Linked DNA regions of Tribolium castaneum. The protein of the gene in region 2 binds, or shares a complex with, the protein of the main gene of each other region. Links are inferred from orthologs where the notes say so. Each region holds a gene or a part of one and is shown on either strand. Other genes may lie near its edges.

The links.
Region 1: Tfb5 (region 2) and Polr2L share a complex: the UniProt entries of both Homo sapiens proteins name them as parts of the TBP-based Pol II pre-initiation complex. The link is inferred for Tribolium castaneum from reciprocal best matches to the Homo sapiens genes GTF2H5 and POLR2L.

What each region holds. Positions count from the first base shown.
Region 1 is NC_087394.1:15,047,260-15,055,241, forward strand, and holds Polr2L (RNA polymerase II subunit 10), read right to left. Parts: upstream 3,251-7,982; coding exon 3,047-3,250; downstream 1-3,046. Other genes in the region: Sumo (small ubiquitin-related modifier 3), read left to right, coding at 3,911-3,928, 4,015-4,134. UniProt on the Homo sapiens protein: DNA-dependent RNA polymerase catalyzes the transcription of DNA into RNA using the four ribonucleoside triphosphates as substrates.
Region 2 is NC_087399.1:6,495,243-6,504,612, forward strand, and holds Tfb5 (general transcription factor IIH subunit 5), read right to left. Parts: upstream 4,688-9,370; 5' UTR 4,581-4,687; coding exon 4,546-4,580; exon of another isoform or gene 4,499-4,545; coding exon of another isoform or gene 4,117-4,498; intron 3,656-4,116; coding exon of another isoform or gene 3,429-3,655; exon of another isoform or gene 3,423-3,428; intron 3,402-3,422; coding exon 3,215-3,401; 3' UTR 3,130-3,214; downstream 1-3,129. Other genes in the region: heix (ubiA prenyltransferase domain-containing protein 1 homolog), read right to left, coding at 1,725-2,705; meiotic nuclear division protein 1 homolog, read left to right, coding at 3,429-3,655, 4,117-4,498; hydroxyacyl-coenzyme A dehydrogenase, mitochondrial, read left to right, coding at 5,118-5,231, 5,286-5,862, 7,586-7,824. UniProt on the Homo sapiens protein: Component of the general transcription and DNA repair factor IIH (TFIIH) core complex, which is involved in general and transcription-coupled nucleotide excision repair (NER) of damaged DNA and, when complexed to CAK, in RNA transcription by RNA polymerase II.

The DNA.
Region 1 (7,982 bases), on a different chromosome or scaffold from region 2:
TAAGTCCGTATTCCCACTTGATTTCTCAAAAATTTACATTTTTTGTAATAAAACAGGATTCACTAGTCAACTTACTCTGATCGTTCTATTTAAAAAAGTAACAGCTTAGTTCTCTTATATCTCTTACGATATAATACTACTTTTTTTTTGTAAAATTAATTATTTCGTAAGGACTAATCTGGCGTCAAAAGAGTCAAGATTAATTTAAGTGTATTGTTCTCGGACCACTAATAAATAATAATAATAACAATAATAGTACTATGTGTCCAGTGATATTAAATCTAAAAGTTTACTTAAAATCCCATGTGACATAAGATTTATTTTATCTTATTAACTTTAAATTTGTTGCTTTCTCATGGTTAATAATTAGTCAAACTAGAGTTTAACAAGTAGTCATGAAATAACTGTATTTTGTATTAATGTTCTAGTGATGTATAACACACTTGTTGATTATACACACTATGCACTGAAAAAAATCGGCATTTAAAAATTACGATTAGATCATAAGACTAATATCATCGAAACTAATAAATAAATATTTGTCTGACAAAGGAGTCTATTTTAATCGCACGTCCGTACGTAAGAATCACGACTCAATTTGATCTGATTTTCTCTGTTTGAATCAGTTTCCAAATGATTTTACGTTACATCACACTTACAGTGCTGTCCATTATGAAATTTGTTCTGTACAGGTTTATTGTTTGAATAATAAATAAATACAAAAATTATCATTTTTGTTTCTTTTAACACAAATAACCGCACTCGAACCTCAAGGAAGGATAGTTAGTTTGTGCTTCACAGTTTACAATTAACTCAGCTGTCACAAGCTAAATCACAGTATCTTCTTTTTATTTAATTTTTAACTAGACCCAAAATTAACTTATTTAACCAGCCTCTTTGAATGACTTACTCATAGTTATTGCTGTTATTAGTTTAGAGAGTGTATGCTGTTTTTCCATTTAAACCGTTATTCTTACACCAATCTAATTTTACAATGGCAATCAATTGGATTTTCAAGCGTGAAATTTTTCTAAGTAAATTTGTCTTTCATTCAAAACGTTACTATTTCGCAAAAAATTAACCAAATTAAAGGTAAAAGTTTAAAATTGAATACAGGATGATCCAGCCCAGTTCCCGTCTCCTGTAGCTCAGTTATTATTAAAGTTGGAGTTTTGATATTTTGTAGATATTACTTATTTATACTCTAGGACACATTTCAGGAAAATATATTAACTATATAGTGTCCTCAAAAAGTATGACATCATAATAATAATTTTTTTATGGCATCCTATTATTTTTTGTGCTCATTATGATATTTTTTTAGCTTCTTACATGTCTCTATTTTTTTCAAATCGGTTAGGAGATTACTGTTAAAAAAATACAAATTAAAAAAACACGGTTTTACACCTTTAGTTTTAAAAATCATTAAAAAATAGAAACAACTTTAATAGTAACTGAGCTGCAGAAGACGGGTGCTGGGCTGGACCACCCCTGTATATCTTAAAAAATCAAAACCTAGAAAAATATGAAGCTGGAAATCTTGAAAAACTATAACTAAAAATGAAATTTATACATATTATCCAATTTATGATGATAGTAAGATTTTTTGGTTTTGGTTAGAAAAATTATTGTCTTTACACACACGAGTTTCTAAAATTTCGTGATTTTGAAGTGGATGGTTTTTAATTTTTCAGTTATTTATACAATCTTTTTTATTCCACAGATTTTTTTACAGTTTCAGCAAATAGTCGACTTTTACGTGAAACACGCAAACCATGTACAGGGTGTGCCAAAACGCAAAAAGTTGAATAACTCTTTTTTTTCAAATGGAAGGATTTGCATAGCAAATTTAAAACGTTTTTCGAGATTTTTCAAAAAAATATTTTATTACAAGGAAATTTGTTATTCTACAATGTGATAAGTCAAATTGTAATTTATTTTTTGACATGTACCAATGTGACTATTTACATTAATAATTTAATTATTACTTGAAACATAAATGAAATGAAGAAAAAAAATAAGAGATATTTCTAATTTGTTGTACAAATCGCATATCATTGGATAGTGTAAAGAAATAGATAGTGTTCCATTTGAAAAAAAAAATGTTATTCAACTTTTTGCGTTCTGGCACACCATGTACATTACCTGCGTGTTTCAAGTAAAAGTCGACTATTATTAAAATTACGGGATATTCTGACTTATTCTGTTGCAAATTTATCGGAAAATATTCATAAGCGACTTCGCAGTGATTTTTCTAAAGATGGTCTTTTTCATAACGAGAAGTTGAATAATTTTAAAACGAAAAGAGATAAACCCATAATAGTTTATTTAAAGTTACATTACTTTTTGCATAGAATATAATTATGTGAAAATGTATGGGGTGTTTCATTTCAAAAAATATAACTCTAGTAAACCAGGATGTATACAACACCCTGTGTATAATAAAAAAAAGATAGTTTGTGGACTTTAAGTCTATCTATAGAATAATGAAAACGAAAACATGGCAAAATTTCAAGTAACAAAAAAGTTACAGACCGCACCCCTGAGTCACCCTGTATCTTTTAAAAAAATCACCAACAATTATTGTCTTATGGTGTTACAAACACTTAAATTAGCAAATTATACAATAAATAATTTAATATTAATCATATTAATATTATTAATCACTGGAAACAAAACAACAATTAAAATGGTTGCTAAAGAAAACAAATACAAGAATGATAAAAAAATCAAGTTGCTTGGGAAAAGATCTGACTTCATTTCTAAACTTTACTGGACATCCCTTATCACCATATCGACACTTTCTTGACCCTCTAGACATGGTTGAATTAACAAAGATAATGCAATTTTTTTGAATAACTTTATAAAAATAAACAAAAAAGTTACCGTGAACTCGTGAAGTAGGAAAAACTAAATAGGATGTTGCAAAAATGCTGGTTTATGAAAGACAAGGCATAATAGTAAAATTTATTCAAAAACGCGCCTTTTTACATGCCATAAAATTAAACTTACACCTACACTTACTTAACAGACTTACTACTACAGATTACTTCTCTAAAGGAGCATAATTCAATAACTTTTCAATAAGATCGACGTGTCCAAGAAGCATTCTTCTGCAACAGTACCTCTTCAAACCCAAAGCATCCAAAGCATCTCCTTCCGTATATTCAGCTTGCAAAAGCCCAAGATAAGCCTCCCATTTATTTCCAATAACTTTCCCACAAGTAAAACAACGAACCGGTATAATCATCTTGTCTCGACAAAACCTGAAAAAATATAACCTAATTTTTCACTGACACATCAAAAATTAACCAAATTCTGTACCTCACACTCTCGCTTAATCAAAATTTGTTGCGTTGGTATTTAGACTTTAAATTAGATTACTTTCAAAAAGCTTTAACTGCGCTTTTCTAGAAGCTTTTTGATTTCTAATTTCGTGAATTTCTGGGTTCTTCACTTCTGGAATATTGGTGCTCCTGATCAATTGAAGCTTGTGGCCTGCCATCTGTCGACGGCAATAACAAATAAGGATTAATTTCTTGATTAAATTATTAAAAAATCGCAGAAAACATGTGAAAGTTATATTGAAAACAAAGCCTAATTTTTTGTATTAATTTACCGCGTTGTTTCAAGCACGTTTTGTCAACGTGAAGTGGTAAATTTCTACAAATGTTTCAAGCGGAAGTGTGAAGTTTGAACAGCTAAAGCCGACTTTGACTAACCGCGTAGTCACTTCCGGCGAGCAGTTACCGCTACTTTGCAAGCAAGCCGGCCATTATTTGTTAGCGGCAAGCTGCGTGTCTGTTGATAAAACGGTTAAAAGTGCACCAAATTCCACTAAAACCGTTTACATTTGTGCATCAACTTCGGCCCCAGACCCTCCTACAAGCCACAACCAAATTTGCCAAATATGGGTGACGAAAAGAAGGTAAACATGACTTTTCTTTCCTAACCATAAACGAGGTTTTTTTCCCGTAATTTTGAACTGATACTCACGTTTTTGGGACTTTGCAGAGCAATGAAACGGAACATATCAACTTGAAAGTACTGGGACAAGATAATGCTGTCGTCCAGTTCAAGATCAAAAAGCACACCCCTCTCAGGAAGCTGATGGGGGCTTATTGTGAAAGAGCGGTAAGTGTTACACTTTATCTCAGATTCTTTAGTTTATTACTGGGACAAATGAGTAAGAACATGGATTGTGATTCATACTTGTGTTTACTAAAATGTATCAAAAGCCGCATCCTTTCTCCAAGTCTTTAATGTGCCATGATTTGCATTTTTTTCATGTTTGGACGTCTGAAACCGCCACATTTGTTGCAACTCAACTTCTTAAATGTCTAAACCAGGATTTGTTAATGTTTGTTCACTCCTGTGCGTAGTGATTGGTTGTATTCGGAAATAAAATTAACTAGACGCCCTCTGGTGACGACTTTTGAACTATGTCGAAAACAGTAACGAAATTTTCGTAATTCAATATTTAATTTAATTTTTTAATTTAACAATTTTGCGTGTGTAGTGTTAATTACTTACAGTAGAGAGAATCACTTTAAGGTAGTTGGGGCCTTACAATCGGAGCAAAAAGTTAGGCCAAAAGAATATATGGTGCCACAGTGTATAGTATCCACAGTAACCAACCCAAAAATTTTTACTGTGAATGTACTGCCCTGGCCAGTCATAACTCATTTGTGGAATGTGACAACACTGTCGGAGTTTCGATTGAAAATGTCAAATGTGTCAAATAATTACATCACAAAGGAAGAATTATTAGGCTAAAACCATCGATAAACGATGAAAAGCTACAGCGGTTTTACTGTAAACGCGTCCTATTTTCGAAATTTAACCGAAAAAAACCGTAATTACATCTTCTAGGTGGCCCCTGTGGCACGCTCACCTCGTAGGAACAGCCATTTTTAATCTATTTACTTCCTAACTATCCCGAACATAGCTCCAAAGTCAAAAATTCTGTGTCGGGATATTTGTTTTGTTTGTTAACTGATTCAAAATTCATTTTTAGCGGTTTTACAGATGCGCTGTGTTGCCAGTTCTATTTTAGTGTAACCCTTTTACTACAAATTTCTTATCGTTTATTAATTAATATCTCCAAAATTTGGACGGTGACCCCCAGTTTTTTTCCCCTTAAAATACTTATTTGATGTTGCTGAATGATGATTTAGTTTTTAAAAAAAATCTTAAGAAGGGTTTGATAGCTATACCAAAAAACGTACAAAAAAATTTTGATTCACCATATGCCGCAATGTAAAAGAGTCAAAAACTCAATTTTCAAAATTCAATGTCTCCGAAACTAGACGGTCAATCTTTTTCATTTTTGCACCATCGATATGGAATTCTTTGAACAATAATCTGTTAAAATTTAAAAGAAATCTTAAGAATGTTAATTTAGGCACCAACTACCTTAAAAGTACGTGGTGGTAAATACTAGCTTTGACTTTGGTTCTGCGGTTTTTCGTGGTATAAAGTGTTTATTCTTGGAATTTGAAAGTGGATAAAAAGTGAAAAAGATTTAAATTTTGATTACAAATTAAAGTTGTCAAATTAAAGACCATAAGTAATGGATACAGCGAACACAAAGTTGGGCTCAGGAAACCAATAAATTAGTGAAGTGTGTGAATTTTAGATTAGAATTTTTCCACAGGAAAAATCATGAAATACATTGGTAAATTTACAAAACTACAATTAAGATTAAAAACTGCTGAGACATTTAAATGTAAATTATGTCAAAAGGTAGGCTTTTCGATGCCTTTGTAATAATTTTCCAATAAAAAAGTGAACCAAGCAGTCATTCGTTATTCGTGTTTTCCTCATCATCTCTAATTTGTCAACATTCGTTTCTTGCACCAAAGATACAATAGTCATCCCGTATAGACAATGAAATAATTGTGAAGTTTCAAAATTCGTACAACGCTCAAAATATTCGAATAAAAAATTTCCCGCCATTTATGGTTAATGCTTTCGACCTAGCTCAGTGGCACCCCCAACGGTAATTTTACTTCCGAATAACTAGAGTAAGTTAAGTAACGCATAAAATTCATATTTTTGTTGGGAGTCATTTTCAAACAAAATTTCAAAAAACATCCTCGAACATGTCGATTTTATATTTGTAAATGTTACATCATAGTCACATTTGTGACATCACTGGTTTCTGAGTAATGACGTCATTTTTAATTATTTTAAATGGAAATCGACATTTTTGTTCATTGTTTTCAATAGTTTTAGCTGTTTCAAAACTATAATAACGCCAACGTTACATTTTCCTGAATTATTTTTTTTAAATAAGATTGATAAAATTGTGAAATAGTTATTAATGATTAGATCTCTCATTGAAAATATAAATCACATTAGCTATTATTTTTTTGAAGTACATGAATATTTTATAACTGCTAATTTTGAAAGAAAGTGCGATGTTGGCGTTTTTATAGAACGTGTATCAGAACTCACTCCCCAGAGAAAAGGGGGACGTGGCGTAGACAATTAGGTGTCTGTAAATGTTGACAAAAAAAATCCATGTTGAACGTTGTTCGAATAATAGGACTATGAAATCCACCAATCCCAGAAGCTGAACCTCAGTAATTATTTTGAATCAAAATAGGTTGCCAGGCATTAAAAATAAATATATAAATAATAATGTAATAAATAAATATTACAGTAATTCTTTGGTAAACTGCAAAAAACTGTCATATTGACAAAATCTAAACGACGTTTTGACAGAATTTATAATACAGAGTGGATTATTATTTCTGAAATGATCTTAGATGCAACCAAAAATACCAATTCAAGCATTCACTAGATCTCTGACTTTTAACAAAGCAATTGGCTCAGCCTGTATAACAACACCATTCAAAATTTTTCATTCACGTTTTAAATAAATACAAAAGAAAACCTATTAAACTAAGGACTACTATTTAACTAATTAATATTATATTCCTTAATCTTTCTGATAAGAATTCGAAAATAAAATTAACTAGACGCTCTCCGGTGGCATTACTTGTCGAAGTGTAACGAAATTTCCGTAATTCTTCATTTAATGAATTATTTAACCATTTTGTGGGTATGTTGTTAATTTTTTACATTGGAGAGAGTCAGTTTAAAAGAATGTGGTGGTCGTGGAGGGAGAAACTTCTAGAGAGAAGGTGCCCTATACCGCCAATATTAGGTTCTTAGCGATCTACAAACACCTTTTATGGCCTATTCTGAATTTCCCGCTTAAGTGTGCAACCAGTGCGCAGGTCTGAAGCTGTTGCTACAAATCAGCTGATACCAGATAGGCGTCTCATGAATTCTATGCTGTTCTTTTTTTTTTTTTTTTTGTTTTTTTTTCGTTTTAAACAAATTTTTTCATACTTTCTGATAGTTTTAGCTAATAGCACGTAATAGTGTTAATTGTTAGTTTTAGCAGTTAGTGGTTTCAAGGCAGCCCCCGAGAACTGTCAAAATCAGATTGTCAAATCAAAAAAATGTGTTTTTACTATTTTTTACTTTTATACATATCTCAAAATCGACAACAATTTTCAACCGGCAACCATTGTGGCCTCTCCAACTGGCAAATACATTTTAAAAGCGGTAATTAAAAAAAATCTCATTCTCAAAAATTTTTTTCTAAAAGTTTTTTCCTCGCTATTGCTTGTATTGGGTTCAGTTTTTGCATGCATATTTACAATGATGTTGTGCATGAATGGGTGTATTTTTTCCGATCCTTAAATGGATTCAATACTACATAAAAAATGTGTAGTTTTGTGGGGAATTAATTTCTAATTATTCTGCTTTTTGTTTGGTTCTGCTCCGTGGTCTATTTTTTGAGATATGTATAAATGTATGACCACATCATTTTGAGAGTTCTCGGGAGCCGCCTTAATGAAGTAAATTTTGACAATGGTAAGTTGCAAGTGTCCCCAAAATTAAAATGTGCCTAGTGCACCACTGGTTTGAAATTTCTTGTGGGGAAGAATGTTAGCGCGCGCACT
Region 2 (9,370 bases):
CGGAAATTATAATGATTTACTATAAAATCTCTTACACAACGTCATACAAAACTCATCAACATTAACAATAAATTAATCAGCTATAAAAATACATGATTTATAATTGGCCAATCAGGGACTAAACCCCGCCTTGAAAGAGCCAATCACCTGATTAGGTTCAGTCACGACCAGAAAGAATGTCACCCCTACGAACCACAGCAATGATCTTTTAGGTCATAAATGTAAATTTCACATCATCGAGTGTTTTCTCGACTATTAGATTTTAGGCCCCAATGATATTAAAATCGTATAATATACATGTAATTAGAGTCGGCGTACAGAAAACAAGTTAAAATTTATTCCAACGTTAAATTAATTCAAAGTAAGTTACCATTTACCTTGCATTGACAAAGTCAATCTATAGGAGTATGTTCATATTTGAAAACTAAAACAGTGAATTTATAATTAATTCCAATAATAATTTTTCATTTAAAATTTAAAAAATTGTTTCTAAGCAAACATAATAGTTATTTAACTATTTGGCATTTTTCAATACGAAATGTCTGACTATTCTAACAGATTTAAAGCAATTTCAAGCCTTGTTGAGTCAAATTCGAAAAATAAATGTTGTATTCAACTCGTTTTCATGTAAATCGATTAATAAAATAATTTTTTTTATTACGAATATATAGAATTGGCCAGCAAATATCGAATTTACCTTTGCAAAGTCAAATCAGTCAAAAATCTGTTGCTTCAAAACTGTAAAGTTTACTTTAAATTTTGAGGTTTCCAATTTTTTTTTTAATTTGGCCAAATAAATGAATTTCTAGCTTAAAAGTGTAAATTTTGCAAAACCTTTAACTTTGTACACATTTTCTGTGAAATAATTTTTCCACGGCCAACATGGCTGCTTTATCCGGCTCGAAGGACCAAATATTAGTAAGTTCATATTGATAGAATCCATAAATGGAGAAACATCGTTATTATTTTTTGCAACCGTTTTGAATAAAGAAAAATTCCAGCCGAGGCGAAGCCGAGTTTCTTTAACAACTTGCGGTTAAAAACGGATGATTCGTTTTAAGTAAGACCCCATTTTCGGTTTGTCTGTGAGCGACTTCGTCCTTTTGTATAATCACTTTTTTTTAGAATTTTATTGGTAAATACTTGACAAAAGACTAGGACTTTTAGAAACATTAAATTAAAGGCAAAATTTCTAACAAAAAAAAGATTATTTAAAGATAAGTAAAAATTTATAACAAAAATGTTTCAAAAAATAGAGGGTACTATTTAAAATTTTAAATTAAAAGTGGCTAACAACTGGAACAGAATGTAACTAACGTTGGTTTTGAACTTTAGTACACCTACTTTTGTTTAAAAATAAGTAAATAAGTACTACTTAAAAAGCTAACACATTACGTAATACAGTTTTGATCATACTTGGAGTAAATAGACTACATTTATTAATTTACACGATTAGAATATCGTTGATGTTACAAAAGTAAAAACCCGAAATCATGTTTATTGACGTTTACGACCCAACAGTTTATAGGGATGACATTCTTTATGATCGTGACTGTTCATTGTCATAAGTACAATAATCTCGACGTAACAAACGAAAATGAGAAGGTATTGCGGCTTGGACCCCAAGCCGCAAACCCGCACTAGCGCCCCCTTTTGACGCAGTTCCTCAACACAGTAAAAAATAACTTAATAGAAATAAATACAACTAATAAGAGCTCGTACATCTATCTTTTGGTGACGTACGGCAGCGCTGGAACCAAACTACAGGCCAGCACGTACAAAACACCGAAAAACAAATTCAATTTGGCAGTCTTTTTGGGCACACTGTGTATATCGTTGGATCTGAACTGTTTTTCGATTTTAAAAGCGCTAGGAAGCGTGACTAGAGGCAACATGAACCATTTCGAGTATTTCAACGAGGCCACCATGAACATGATATACGGGGTGAACAACAAAAACGCGTACAAGACGTGCGAGGCAGTGTGGCCGATAATAATCGCCAGAGTCACAATTCCCACCTTTTTGTCCGACTCAGAGTCCCTTGTGTTATTACTATGTAAAATCGCCTCAGTATTAAGGGCCAGAGGGATGGCGTAGTAAATCGTCGCCCACTCGACGCGCCCCGTTTGCGACATGAAGGCGAAAAGCACCGAAATGGGGCCGAACAAAATCAAAATAAGCACATCCCCGAGGGCTATATACTTGAAGCCTATACCTCCCGTGTAGAGGAAGCTCGACGACAGCCCCCCGAAATAGACCAAAGCCAAGTGCTCCATCTTCGCGGGGCTCAACGCCGCCAAGAGAATGAACCCCACACAGCCGGCAAAGTATAAAAGGGCCCCCAGAGACACCACCTCGTCTTTGGTCAGAATGTGGTCCACCAGGATCCGGTCGTCCGATTTCCGGTTGTCGATCCCCTTGACGTAGTCGAAGTAGGTGTTGACGACGTTTCCGGCGCCGTGCACCGACACCACGGTGAAAATTGTGAGCAGGAGGGTGGCGTAGTTGAAATCGGTAACTCCGGGGTATTTGTACGCTATGGTGGAGCCCAACAGTGTGGGCATGAGACTGGCACTGAGGGACCACGGACGCAAGGCTAGCACGTAACTTGATAGCTTCATGAGGCCCGATTTTTGGCCGTTTTGGCGCTTGGGAGTGGTGGAGCCATTGGTGAGGAGTTTCTCGCTGGGGGTGGGCACCGTCATGATGGGGGTAAATGCACTGACACGGAACTTAACACACTTGATGATTTGTGGCCGAGAAACGCGTTTTTTCGTTTTATAACTTTGACAAACGGAACATAACCAAAGAAGTCAATTGTGACGTTTGACATGTGGCTGTGGTTACGTCACGGCGGCTATTAAATCAGGGAAAAATTATAATTAGTGACACGTTTCCGTTATCTATTGCTTAATTCTATTCTTATCATTTGTGTGTAAAAATGTTCGTGATGGCGTAACAACTGTAGAATAGTCGGTTATCAAAGAAGCGTAATTGTAGCCACTTCCAATTTACAGGGAACTGTATTATTTGTACCGACAATTTGAAAAAACAGTTAATTAGTGCCTTATTGCGTAAGTATGGACGAAAACCGGCCCGCAACGATATTATTTATAGCAAAACACGTCATTATATAAATGCTGCGCTTTTTATTTATAATTCGAATGACCACACATCAATATGACATAACCTCACTTTTGCAAATTACAAAAAATTAATTGCTTTTTTCGGCGACTGGGAAGCTAATTTGGTCCATCAGATCGTCGATTTTTGCCTGTAATGTCTCTAAAATATCGGCTGAAATAAATAAGTGGTTTTCATCCAAGTCCTGAATTATGAATTTTCGGCCTAGTTTTGTAGTCTCATCTAAATACAAAAGGAATTGTTTCATGGCCTGGTCACTGAAACAACGCATTTTTTAGGGGAAAATGTTCAAGAAAAAAGGTCTAAGTTTTGAGGAGAAAAAGGCTAGGATGTTGCAATTGTTTCACGAGACTGGGGATTTTTATCAAATGAATGAATTGGAAATAATTGCGCCAAAGGAGAAAGGAATTACGGCGAATTCTGTGAAAGAAGTGGTCCAAGCTTTGGTGGATGATGGTTCTGTTGATAAGGATAAGATCGGGAGTTCCGTCTACTTTTGGGCTTTTCCCAGGTAAATATTATACAGGGTGTCCGTTTTTTTGAGAAGTTGTGCATTTGTATGCAAAACAATTTCTGAAAGAAAATTTTATGTGCCATTTTTAGTTTTTGAATTATTGAGAGAAATTTAAAAAAATGATTTTCGTTTTTATTTTTTTCCCATAAAAAAAACGAAGTTAAGTGTTGTAACTCTGACATCAAGCAAGCCTAGGAAAATCCGATGACAAATTTAGATTCCTTGTAAAAAGTGCCCGAAAAAGTCCTACGTCTAGTTCTTTTGGTTTTCACTTGAAAAAATAAAAACGAAAATTACAATTTTTTTTTTCAAATAATTGTTCAGCATAAAAATGCGCAACTTTGCCCTAATTTAACCGACCTCGTATCTCTTATAATAACGGAGATCACTGAGATAACTGGGAGAGTGTCCGAAAAACGGTATAGACGGGCCAAAAACACGTTTTATCCTAATTACAGCAAATTACTTAACGCGAAAAAACGCAAACTTAACGAGCTTCAAACGAAATTAGAATCGTCAACAAAAAAATTGAAATTAATTGACGAAACTATGGAAAAAGCGCAGGTGGGGAAAGAGAATTGGGACGACAGCCAGATTTTGAAGGAAATTGAAAAACTGGAAAAACAGAAAGAAAAATTCGAATCTCTGTCGAAATCTCACACAGATACTCAAAATTTGAAATTAATGCAAAGTGAGATAAAACCGGTAAAAGAAGCAGCAAATCGATGGACTGATAATATCTTCGCGGTCAAATCATGGTGCAAAAGGAAGTTTATGATGGAAGATAAGGTTTTAAATAAGCAGTTTGGGATTCCCGGAGATTTGGATTATCTGGCATGATTGAGGTTATGTCAAACAAAAACTCAAAAAAATTGTTAGGGCCTTACCAGGTCACCAAAACGCCTTTCATTACATTAACCATTGTTGATAATCGAGAATTGTGTACTTTTTTAAATCAGAAATAAATTATTTTTCTTACAAAAGTTGGTGTTTTTATGACATTTGACAACTTATAGAATGCAACTAACCTCTCACACGTGTATTGCTGATTGCATAATCACAAATTTCCCCAAAATTATATTTTTTTTCAAGTATTTCTTTGAAAAAAGTGGATAAATTGATAACAGGGATTGCTATATAGCCCCATTTTGGAACCCTCCTGTGTACCACTTGACTGAATGATGTTGCACTTTTATTACATAATACCTAAATAAATTCAGGTACAAAAGTCGCACTCGTTATCGAAAGCGGATTATTTTTAAACCATCGGCACGATGATTTTCACTTCTGAGCCCTAATCTCGCCATAAACGATAAAATGATTAAAAAGTACACAAACGTAGCGGTGGGAGTCGATCATAGGTTACAAACTTGGACTTTCACCTAGTTATTGTATCGTTAATAAACCAAACAAAATCCGCATTACACACCACTTTTTACTCGTAACCGAACGCGAAAAAATGGCCCTAAACCTGTTCATCAAGCGAAGCCTTTCAACTTCAAGCCCCATGAACGCAGTTATAAAAAACGTAACTGTGATCGGGGGCGGCCTCATGGGCTCAGGCATCGCCCAAGTAAGTGTACCCCAAACCACCCGAACCTAACCTAACATTCGCCCCCTTGCTTAGGTGGCCGCGCAAACCGGCCACAACGTGACCATCGTGGAAGTCAACCCCGACTTGATCAAAAAAGCCGAAGACAGCATTGCGAAAAACTTGGTACGAGTCGCCAAAAAACTCCACAAGGATGACCCGCAAGCCGCTAATAAATTCGTGAGCGAATCGCAGGCCCGGATTAAGGGGTGCACCGACATTGCCGAAGCTGTGAAAGACAGCGATTTGGTCGTGGAGGCGATTGTTGAAAACATGGATGTTAAGCACAAATTGTTCAAAAATTTGGATGAGGTCGCGCCCCCCAAAACCATGTTTGCGTCAAATACGAGCTCGCTCTCGATTACCGAAATTGCCTCCGTTACGAAGAGGAAGGATAGGTTCGGGGGGCTGCATTTTTTCAATCCCGTGCCCGTTATGAAGCTTTTGGAGGTTGTTAGGACTCCGGAGACGTCGCAGGAGACGTACGAGGCCTTTATGGCGTGGGGCAAAGCCGTGGGCAAGACCTGCGTCACCTGCAAGGACACCCCCGGGTTTATTGTTAACAGGCTTCTGGTGCCCTATATAGCAGAAGCCATCAGGATGATGGAGAGAGGTAATAATTATGTAATATTGAAGCTCGAAGCGAAGCTGAGAGCTTTAAGGTTGCCAAGCTTGTGGCAAATACAGGCGTTCAATAAATCTGATACGACTTGAGTTACACAAAACGAAATGAATTTTTGAAAATATTTTTATTGCCAATAAGGCTCTACGAATGGAAAATAAATCGAGTTATAAAATACCGAAAAATTCTTCAGACTTCAGACTGTCAAGATGAAATTTAGGATTTTTTTTCCAAGTAAATTTATGTCAACCCGGTTTTTTTTCTTATTGGATTTTGAGGTTTTTTTCAAAAACTTAGCAAAATCTACTGGTGAAACAACATTATGATTAAGAACTATGTATTTGTTGAAGGTCATTTTTCAAAAAAATCCTCGAACAGGTCGAGCTTATTTTTGTAAATGCTACATGGTAACATTTGTGACATCACTGGTTTCTCAATAATGCCGCTATTTTTAATTTTTTTAAATGGGAATCGATATTTTTGGTTACTGTTTTTTATAGTAGATATTACTCTTTTATCTTTATAGTAAGTGCAAAAAATTGAAGTGATAAATAAAAAATTTAGAAAAAAAAAAAATTTTATAAGGGGCGATTATTTTTTTGCTTATTTTGAAAAATCAGAATAATATGAATTTTATGCGTTACTTTAGACACACTCTATATATCCAAAAATGCACAATATAGGGTGTTTTATTTAAAAAATATATAAATTTGCATTGTACCTAACATTTTTTGCTAATCTTTTATTGAAATATTTTAACATAACGACAGTTAAAGTTTGATTCAATAACTTAACCTTCACCAATATAAAAAAAATTAGCTGAAAACAATACTATCTTATAATGTTATATATTTTTTCTACTCCCATTCCTGAAGTGATTGATTAAAAATGTTTGTGACCTGTACTTTAATGAAAATCATTATGATACTGGCTTGTAACCAATGGTAATGCAGAGTAGTGACCACGAGGACAACTTGTGACCAATGAGAATGTAACATGGCAGCAACTATTAGATTGCCTTGAGTCTGACTTTAAAAATAAATTAATCATTTTGAAAAAAAATGCAAGTCTTTTAATTTTAATCAGTCGGATCGTAAAAAAATAGTGTATGTAACTCGCATTTAATTTAAAACACTCGTACGACACTCGCTAAGGCTCGTTTCATAAAGTTGCTATTTAAGTTGCATTAACCAATGTCAAATTACTAAGTATTCTGTTAATCATATACTAAAATTTGATTTTTAATTTTGTGGAAAAACAAATGTTTGAAAATTTCAATACACAAAATCGTTAATCTCGTTTCTAATTTTCTTTTTATAAAAACCCGATTTTTAAAATTTTACTATGAATTAATATTTTATTTTAGGTTTGTTATGTAAGCGAGCTAAATTTTTAAATTACATTTAAATAAATAATTAATATGTGATCAATGTTGTGGCAAATAAAGTTTTTCTAATTGTTAGTTAAAAAATTTGTAATTTGTATAGTTTCATTTTCAAAAAAATTTGCATACATAATTTTTAGAAATTTCTCAATATCGGTAAGTAGTACTTTATGAAGGCAAATACTAGTCAAGACAGTAACATCTCTAAATAAAAAAAATAAGGAAAACGGCATTACCTTACTATTTTTTTTAACGGCAGTATACAGTAATTACAAGTCAAAATTTTGAAAGGCTGTTAACACAAAAAATATGTATGAATTTTTTTCGAAGGTGATGCTTCGCCCCGCGATATCGACACCGCCATGAAGCTGGGGGCTGGCTACCCCATGGGCCCCATCGAACTGGCCGACTACGTGGGACATGACACCTCGCACGCCATCATGCAAGGCTGGCACAAGAAATTCCCTGATAACCCCCTTTTCAAACCGAACGAATCCGTACAAAAACTAATCGATGAGAAAAAACTGGGCGTGAAAACCGGCGAAGGCTTCTACAAATACACCAAATAAATATCTATATGTATTTTAATCAAATAAACAATTTTTTAATTGATTTGTTTACTGATGTCGATTTTTCCTCGTGTAAAATACTGTTGGCAAAGCCGCGAAGGTTCGATCGGATGTCATTCATGCCGTTCTATTTTCGTAAACCGAGTGATTTATTTTATTGAAAAGGTCTCCTCGAGTCGCAAAAAGTCAGTCATCGTTTTATTATCGTCGTATTGTCGCTATAAAAACACATCTTTAATGTGTGTTCTTAAAGTGGAGTGAAGGACGACTTAAAAATACATGCACAGAGATTGGGCGAATTAGCGGCGAGTACACGATTTTTTCGAGTAAATAAACTTTCGCGATTTCCGGTTGAAAAAACAATTAACACGTGGGTGCGAACGTTGATAACATTTCCGTGAAATCGCAGTCAATGCAATCGATACATCCTGTTTGAGGAGATGAGCGAAATTTATTTCGGCGGTAAGTTGAGGGCGGTTCTCGGTAATTCCCCTAATAAACACGTCATGGCAACAACAGACCTAAAAATCTAGTTCAAATTTCGCGCCACAATGCGTTGGCAATGAAAAAATTAAACAAACACTTGTGGTGTCAACAACAGTTGGCTAGATTAGCCGTTTCGTACAAATTGCCAACATAAATCGAGTGGGATTTTCTGGCGAAATTTCCATTTTTCATCACCGGAGAAAGGGAGTCAATTTTTTACTTCTATGGTTGGCGACAGTGCGCATGCGCCTTTTCGCGTATAAATAACTCGTCAAGGTGTCAAATTTGCACAAATCAAAGTGACGTGGTTTTGTTCACTGTGACGGTTCAAGATTCGCCCAAAACGGTTTTCTTTAAATAAAATGAACATCTTGCAGTGCTCTTTGTGCAAATTTGGTTACAAAATACGCAAATTTTGGTTCGAAGTTGAGTAGGTTAGTGGTTTTTGTGCCCTGGACTATCACCTGGAACTGGCCACATTTTTTATATTTTATGTTGTATTATTTTTTTGAGCTTGTGTTGGATCAAATTACATATTTATAGCGTCAAAGACCCCGCTAATTGTGTTCAGGGAAAAAGTGAATCATATTCTAAAAATATTCGTGAAATAATTTTTTTTTCATATTTTTTATTCGGGGGAAAGGTCGCGAAGGGGCTGTTGACCTCCGAACAAGCGCCTAACGGTCGTGACAATTGCACTTTTTACAAATAATTGCAATTATCAGAGTGACCTATTAAATTCGCCGATTTTTATACCGGGTGTTCTGGGAAAGTTATTAGAAAGCGTCTGATAAGGATTCATGTTGCAAACTTTGTCCCTAATAAATCTAATTCAAGTCAAGTTTAAGGCTCCCAAATTATGTCACTGGAAGATTTCGCCGACTCTCTTAGGCGCAAAATTTATTACTTGGCTTTAGTCATCAAGGTGACATTTTCCTTCATTTGCCAACGAGTTTTATTGTTGGAAAATATTTAATTTATCTCGGCCCCGATAATGAAAATACCTTAACGAGATTATTCAAGGGTCAACTATGTCTTGTTGAATAAACATTGCATTTTA